2 linked regions of the Callithrix jacchus genome follow. Each later gene encodes a partner of the first gene's protein in a complex. Links are inferred from orthologs where the notes say so. Each region holds a gene or a part of one and is shown on either strand. Other genes may lie near its edges. The genes, in order: UPF2 and UPF1.

Evidence for each region.
Region 2: the proteins of UPF2 (region 1) and UPF1 are in contact, whole or in part, in a crystal structure (PDB 2WJV), measured with the Homo sapiens proteins. The link is inferred for Callithrix jacchus from reciprocal best matches to the Homo sapiens genes UPF2 and UPF1. Residues at the interface, in NP_056357.1 of Homo sapiens: Val1105, Cys1107, Glu1109, Asp1110, Phe1113, Ile1114, Ala1116, Leu1117, Met1120, Met1121, Asn1124, Leu1125, Arg1128, Met1169, Pro1170, Phe1171, Val1172, Met1173, Leu1174, Thr1175, Gln1181, Lys1184, Leu1186, Asn1187, Val1188, Pro1189, Ser1192, Gln1193, Leu1194, Asn1197; in NP_001284478.1 of Homo sapiens: Asn150, Thr151, Ser152, Gly153, Val157, Asn158, Leu160, Val161, Arg162, Lys164, Lys166, Pro175, Leu176, Gly177, Thr179, Tyr184, Cys188, Asn190, Val191, Phe192, Leu193, Phe196, Pro198, Asp202, Ser203, Val204, Val205, Val206, Leu207, Cys209.

The regions. Positions count from the first base shown.
Region 1 is NC_133508.1:2,073,043-2,077,312, reverse strand, and holds the start of UPF2 (regulator of nonsense transcripts 2), read right to left. Parts: upstream 2,885-4,270; 5' UTR 2,495-2,884; intron 1-2,494. UniProt on the Homo sapiens protein: Involved in nonsense-mediated decay (NMD) of mRNAs containing premature stop codons by associating with the nuclear exon junction complex (EJC).
Region 2 is NC_133523.1:17,563,605-17,566,628, forward strand, and holds part of UPF1 (regulator of nonsense transcripts 1), read left to right. Parts: intron 1-241; coding exon 242-416; intron 417-899; coding exon 900-981; intron 982-1,967; coding exon 1,968-2,129; intron 2,130-2,236; coding exon 2,237-2,454; intron 2,455-2,725; coding exon 2,726-2,845; 3' UTR 2,846-2,848; intron 2,849-3,024. UniProt on the Homo sapiens protein: RNA-dependent helicase required for nonsense-mediated decay (NMD) of aberrant mRNAs containing premature stop codons and modulates the expression level of normal mRNAs.

The sequences.
Region 1 (4,270 bases):
CTGGCACCTCAGAGGGAAGTTGGTCAGGAGTGAGTTCACATACCCTTTGGTGGCACCAGAGCTCAGCCCAGACACTCTTGCTCAGTTTCTCAGCAGATGTGCACCCCCACCTGGCTGTCCTGAAATACCTACAAAATTCAATATTCAGTTTCTTCAATGTAATAATTTTGGAAACTCAAGCCAAAATGAAGCCCACTGTAGCCATATTCTTCCCAAAAATGGTGACAGAAGACTTTGGAAGCCATGTAGAATGAAATGACTATATACACGAAATAAGAAAAACAAAAACCTACTCAAAATAGTCCAGAGACTGTAATATGAAATACAAAACTATAAAAAATCTAAAAGAAAATCTAGATGACATTGGGTTTGGTGTTGAGTTTTTTTTTTTTTTTTTAATTTATTGTTTATTTTTTTTAATTAGTAGAGACGGGGTTTCACCATGTTGACCTGGATGGTCTCGATCTCTTAACCTCGTGATCCACCCCGGCCTCCCCAAGTGCTGGGATTACAGGCTTGAGCCACCGTGCCTGGCCGGTGTTGAGTTTTAATACACAACATCAAATGCCAATTCACGAAAATATTGATAACAGACTTTATAAAACTACATATTCTACTGTGAAAAACTGTAGATAAAACAAAAAGACAAGACAGACGTGAGAAGATTTTACACAATACATATGTGATTTTAAAACTGGATAAATATCTGAACAGATAACCACAGCAAAAGCCATGGTGGATGCCCATCTCTACTAAAAATATAAAAGTTACCCAGGCATGGTGGTGCATGCCTGTGATCCCAGCTGCTCGGGAGGCTGAGGAAAGACAATCGCTCGAACCTGGGAGGCAGAGGTTGTGGTGGGCCAAGATCACACCATTCCTCTGCCCTACTGTATATGTGAAAATGCAGATTCACTGAACCAGACTAAATTGTATTCAGTGGAAGGCTGATCAAGGATTCAAAAGGATGCAACCTTTTGTTTTATCTACCTCTGACCCAGAAGCACCCCCACTTCCTACTTCCGGTTGTTCCACCTTACTGAACCAAAAGACTGTACATCTTACACACATTGATTGGTGTCTCCTGTCTCTCTAAAATGTATAAAAGCAAGCTTTACCCTGACCACCTCGGGCCCATGTTGTCAGGATCTCCTGAGGCTGTGTCATGGGCATGTCCTTAACCTTGGCAAAAGAAGCGTTCTAAATTGGCTGAGACCTGACTCACGTATTTTGGGATCACAATCTGCAGTCGCCATGGTGTGACAGTTGACTACAGCATTCAGTACAGAGATATGCCATACAGGTTTGTAGCATGGGAGCAATAGGCGACACCATATAACTTATGTGTGGAGTGGGCTACACCAGCTATGATTTTAAAGGACACTCTATGGTGTTCGGACAAGAATGAAATCACCAAGGACAAATTTCTCAGAAAGAATTCACATCATTAGGAGATGCTTGAGTGTATTTTAAATGATTAAAGCCTAAGAGAGAAAAAAAAAAAAAAAAAGAAAAAGAAACTCAACTCCCGTTATGGTTTAATAAAAAAGCTTAATAGAGTTAACATATTTCATCTAACCTAAGATGCTAATGATGAACAGACATTATTTTACGCACCATCACAAATAGGTTGCCAATTAAACTGACTTTCTGAACAACATAAATGTGAATTTACTTCTATTAATGCCAGTAAAGTAAAATGAAAATGAAGTATGGTTTTGACATGTTAAAGCAAAACAGGAGGAAGCCGTTAGCCTGAGGTATTGCAAAGCAAACAGAAACCGAATTGGAGGCATTAAAACTGACTTCAAAACATTAGCAAACCACCCAGTGAATGACAATAAGCCCAGCCGCCAGCTGGCTGTATGATTAAGGACGCTGAGGGAAGCATCCCACCAACAGGTGGTCGCCTAGCTGGAGCCAAGGAGAAACCTCACTTAGCTGCCACCGCTAAGAGCTCGAAGCCCCAAGCCCTGCTTTGTGTTCTGGTGCTTCAGGTGTGATTCACGAATCATTCCTTTGCTTAAATAAACTGTTTATTTTGCCTAAAATTCTTCTAGCCCCTAAATCCTAACACATAACCGGTAACCCCCAACTCTAACCCTAACCCCTAGCCCTGATCCTCACCCTAAGCCCTAACCATACGTTAGTTTCTGCGTTTGCACTGACAAGTCAGTGTTGACAATTCAGACTGCTGTATGGGCCCGGCCGCATGGGCAGTGCGGATTATATAGTAACATTGTGGACTGAGGCCCTGCATGAGCATCACAGCTGTTTTCTACATGAGCGCTGCGGGTGTTGTATTGGCATTTCGGATGTCATATCTGCCTTAGGAACGCTCCATTTGTATTCTGAGGCTGCGGTGTGCACCTCGCACTGCAGCCGCGTGGCCTTGGCTTGGGAGAACCTCGGTGCTCAGGATTCAGAGGGGTTTTTGGGGTCCAGGTTTCCACACCGAGATCTTACTAGTGCAAACAGGAAAGATTTTACTCACTGTGGACACGGCCTAGACTTGTCCCAAAGTGAGGCTTTGCCCACTAGGTCTATGCTGTGGAGAACACAGCTCCATCCTCGCAGTGTCCCCCAGGTCTGCAATGGGACAATGAAACTCTGCAGACCGCCGAGATGCAATGCACGCTGGTACCGTGACACCGTCTGAAAAGGCGGGCTCGGGCGCCCCCTGCTGGCGGATGGGCAGTGCAGTGCCCTCTTGCTCCCGGTGATGTGCCCCCGCCCTCTTCTGGCGACTAGGGCCACTGCAAGGCCCTCTCCCAGTAAGACACAAGCCCCAAGGTCTGTGCTGAACAGGAGGCAGCTCCATCCTCGAAGCGCCCCCAGATCTACACTAAGGAGAACGCAACTCTGCAGACCGCTGTGACGCGACAAAGGGCGGCACTGTGACCGGACGCACATCTGCGGCGGAGCCTCAGGAATCTGAAACGGCGGGCTTGGGTGCCCCCTCCTGGTGGAGGACTACTGCAGGGCCCTCTTGCTCACACTGCAGTGGCAAGATGCCCCCTGCTGGCAACTAGGACAATGCAGCGTCCTCTTGCTCACTGGGCTGGGGGGCTGTGCATATGCACATAAGGTGCACCTACATGTACACAGTGTGCAACTACACGTACATGTGCACATACTGTATATCTGTACCTAATGTAAACATCATGCAAATGTGCACATGCTGTATGTCTCTACATAATGTGCACATTATGTACACGTGTATATATGGTACATCTGTACATAGTCTGTACATTATGCATACGTGAATATACTGTGTATATTATGTATACGTGTACATAATGTACATCTCTACATAATGTGCACATTATGTACACGTGTATATATGATACATCTGTACATAATGTACACAATGTGCACACATATGTACACGTGTCTATATAGTACATATGTAGATACTGTGTACATTATGTACGTTTACATATTGAAATGCCAAAATAAATTATATGTACATAATGTGTACAATCTGTACATTTACTGTGATACTACGTATTATATATATATTTTTTGTGATTTCATATATGGTATCATTGTGACATTAAAATAAATGTACATATCATACACATTATGTACATATAAATGTACATATTGTACAGATTATGTAAATTTATTGTGTATAGGTATTTTGTACACATTGTACATCACAGTAAATGTACATATGGTACATACAATATACATTTATTGTAATATTCCAAAAAACATACACATTATAAGTATATTCCAGGATATTATTTTTAGTATATTAGAAAAAAATCACTCCTAATATCAAAATGGGTATACACCCATGTGTGTCCATTTTGTGATATTATCCATCATATCCTAAGTAGGTATTACTCTCATTGTGAAAGCAAGTGTACACTCTGTGATTGTTCCAATATCACAGGCAAAGTAAAATGCTTCTGTGATGTAGTTAATCATATCCGAGGGACAAAGGATGACCATACCCTGAATATCGCAGGAAGTGTACACCACCACTGTAGTATTGTTTCTAATATTCAAAAACGGAGAGAATATTACTCCAAATATCTCAGAAAGCACACAAGCCCCCTGTGATATTGTTTCTAATACCTAGGGGATTACAGATGACATTACTCACGATGTGACTGGGGCTGTATGCCGGTCCTGTGATATTGTTCCTAATATCCAGAGAAGGAGAGGAGAATGTTGCTGTCCTTATGGAAACACTCTGAATACGGCAAGAGGTGTAAACCACACTCTGATATGGTCATTCATGTCCACAAAATAACAGTTA
Region 2 (3,024 bases), on another chromosome or scaffold:
CTGCCATGGGGCTGCTTAAGAGTTGGCCACAAAATCACCCCATGTGTAAGATCAGTGGCTTGGCATTAGACTCTAGGGCCCGTCCCTGTGGCCAACAGCCTGCCCGCCACCTCAGCTCACCCATTCCATGCCTCTGTTGCCTTGAATTTGGGTTCTGAGCGAGTGCAGCCTTGCCTCTTGGACCATCCTGTGAGACGGGCAGCTCTCCACGTGCGTCCTCAGCACCGCACCCCTGCCGCAGGTATGGCGTCATCATTGTGGGCAACCCAAAGGCGCTGTCGAAGCAGCCGCTCTGGAACCACTTGCTGAACTACTACAAGGAGCAGAAGGTGCTGGTGGAGGGGCCGCTCAACAACCTGCGCGAGAGCCTCATGCAGTTCAGCAAGCCACGCAAGCTGGTCAACACCATCAACCCGGTGAGTGCCCACAGGGCAGCGGGGGCATGGAGAAACCCGGGCCCAAAACACTGCTGGGAAGGTGGTACAGGGGTCCACGGTGCCCGTGAGCTGAGGGCGGGCAGCCCACCCGTCTCCCGAGCTGTGTGTGGCATGTTTGGTTCAGGGCTGCTAGGTCCTGAGAGGCTTCTGAAATTGGGCTCTGGCTGCTGTGCTGCAGCAGCCTGGGACCTCGGACATGGTCTGCGAGCCTGGGGTGCTCTGGTGATGAGGGGTGTGAAGCTGCCTCAGCCGAGTCCCAGGGGTCAGCGTCAGAGCCCAGGTTGGGCTGACAGGGCAGGCCCAGAGCCCATGAGACAGCAGCTCCCTCCTGCCCCCAGAGAGAGCCCCTAGCACAGTGTCAGCACCCACAGCGGCACACCTGCCCCTCCCAGGCCACTGGTTGGTGGGAAGTCGTTCTTTGTGTTGAGATGACAAATTCCTCACCTATCTAAACCTTCGCAGGGGGCCCGCTTCATGACCACAGCCATGTATGATGCCCGGGAGGCCATCATCCCCGGCTCCGTCTATGATCGGAGCAGCCAGGGTGAGTCACTCAGCAGGAGACCCAGCCGGCCCCTTTGTCCCCACACTGGGATGCTAGCTGTTCCCACAGCTGCAGCTTTGGGTGTCCCCCTTTCCTCCCCGTCGAGGGCAGGGCCTGGCTCCCTTGGCCTCCCAGCGTTTGTCTTTAGCCGGAGTCCATTCATTAGTGTTTACTGGTGATCAAGCTAGTTAGCTTTTTCTTGCTTTTTGGTGGTGGTAGGGTAGGGGCTGCATGTAGTACAAATAGAACATTTTTATTAAAAGGATTTTTTTTTTTTTTTGTAAATGGAGGGAGCTTTTCATATATTTTTTTGTTTAGAGACAGGGAGGGTCTCACTATGTTGTCCAGGCTGGTCTTGAACTCCTGGCTCAAGCTGTCCTTGCGTCTCAGCCTCCCACAGTGCTGGGATTATAGGCGTGACTCACTGTGCCCGGCCAATTTTCAGGGGTTTGTTGTTTGTTTTTCAGACAGTCTCTCTGTCACCCAAGCTGGAGTACAGTGGTGCAGTCTTGGCTCATTGCAACCTCCACCTCCTGGGTTCCATCAGTTCTCCCGCCTCAGCCTCCCAAGTAGCTGGGATTACAGGCACCTGCCACAACGCCCAGCTAATTTTTGTATTTTTAGTAGAGACAGGGTTTCACCATGTTGACCAGGCTGTCTTGAACTCCTGATCTCAGGTGATCTACCTGCCTTGGCCTCCCAAAGTGCTGGGATTAACAGGCATGAGCTACTGCACCCAGTCCCAATTTTCAGTTTTTAAGATCTGTGTAGGCCAGTGATTCCCAGCAGACTCTCCTAGGGGAAGGTGCCGGCCCAGGCATCCAGCCCCAGGCAGGCTGCTGTAGTCAACATGGAGTCCTGGGAATCTGCATCTTCAGCCTGGGCAGGGCCAGCACATGTGTAGCTCCGGCTGACTGGCTGGTGGGGTGGGTGGCGACATCGCTGGGGTTTGACCGAGGCAAGTGACGCCTTACTGTGATTTTCAGGCCGGCCCTCTAGCATGTACTTCCAGACCCACGACCAGATCGGCATGATCAGTGCTGGCCCCAGCCACGTGGCCGCCATGAACATTCCCATCCCCTTCAACCTGGTCATGCCGCCCATGCCGCCACCTGGCTATTTCGGACAAGCCAACGGGCCAGCTGCAGGTGAGCACCTGTAGCCAGGGCTGGGTGTGGCCCTTCTGAGAGCTCCTGAGGGTGTGCGTATCTTCCAGGCCCTGGCCTCCTCATCACCCTGGACTGCTGTCTTTCAGGCCGAGGCACCCCGAAAGGCAAGACTGGTCGTGGGGGACGCCAGAAGAACCGCTTTGGGCTTCCTGGGCCCAGCCAGACCAACCTCCCCAACAGTCAAGCCAGCCAGGATGTGGCGTCACAGCCCTTCTCGCAGGGCGCCCTGACACAGGGCTACATCTCCATGAGCCAGCCCTCCCAGATGAGCCAGCCCGGCCTGTCCCAGCCGGAGCTGTCCCAGGTGAGGCCGCCCCACGCAGAGCCCTCTCGGAGCCCTCCGAGGGGACCTGTGGGAATGAGGGTGGGGCTGTGCACCTGGAACATTTCCCCTGGAGAGCCGGTCTGGCCTGTGTACCCTGTGTGGGTTACCTGTCCCTGAGCTGGGGTCAGCGGAGTGGGTCTCTGGCTGTTAGTTTGGGGACAGCTTTTCCATTCTCTTGGGCTGCTGAGGGCTGGATGGACGTGAGCGCCCTTGGCTGGTGGCTTGCTCACCTCCCCACCTTGTCTTTCAGGACAGTTACCTTGGCGACGAGTTTAAATCACAGATTGACGTGGCGCTCTCACAGGACTCCACATACCAGGGAGAGCGGGCTTACCAGCATGGCGGGGTGACGGGACTATCCCAGTATTAGAAGGCAAGCCCCCCTGGAGCAGGCCTGGCCCTACCCTGCTTCAGGGAGAGGGATGGGAGGGGCTCTCCCCTGGGAGCTGCACTAGAGGGGTGGTGTCTGGGAATGTGTGCGGGCCCCGGGGTGTGCTGGGCCTGTGACTTTCACCGCCAGTCAGGGTGGCTCCCTGTGTATCCCAGTCA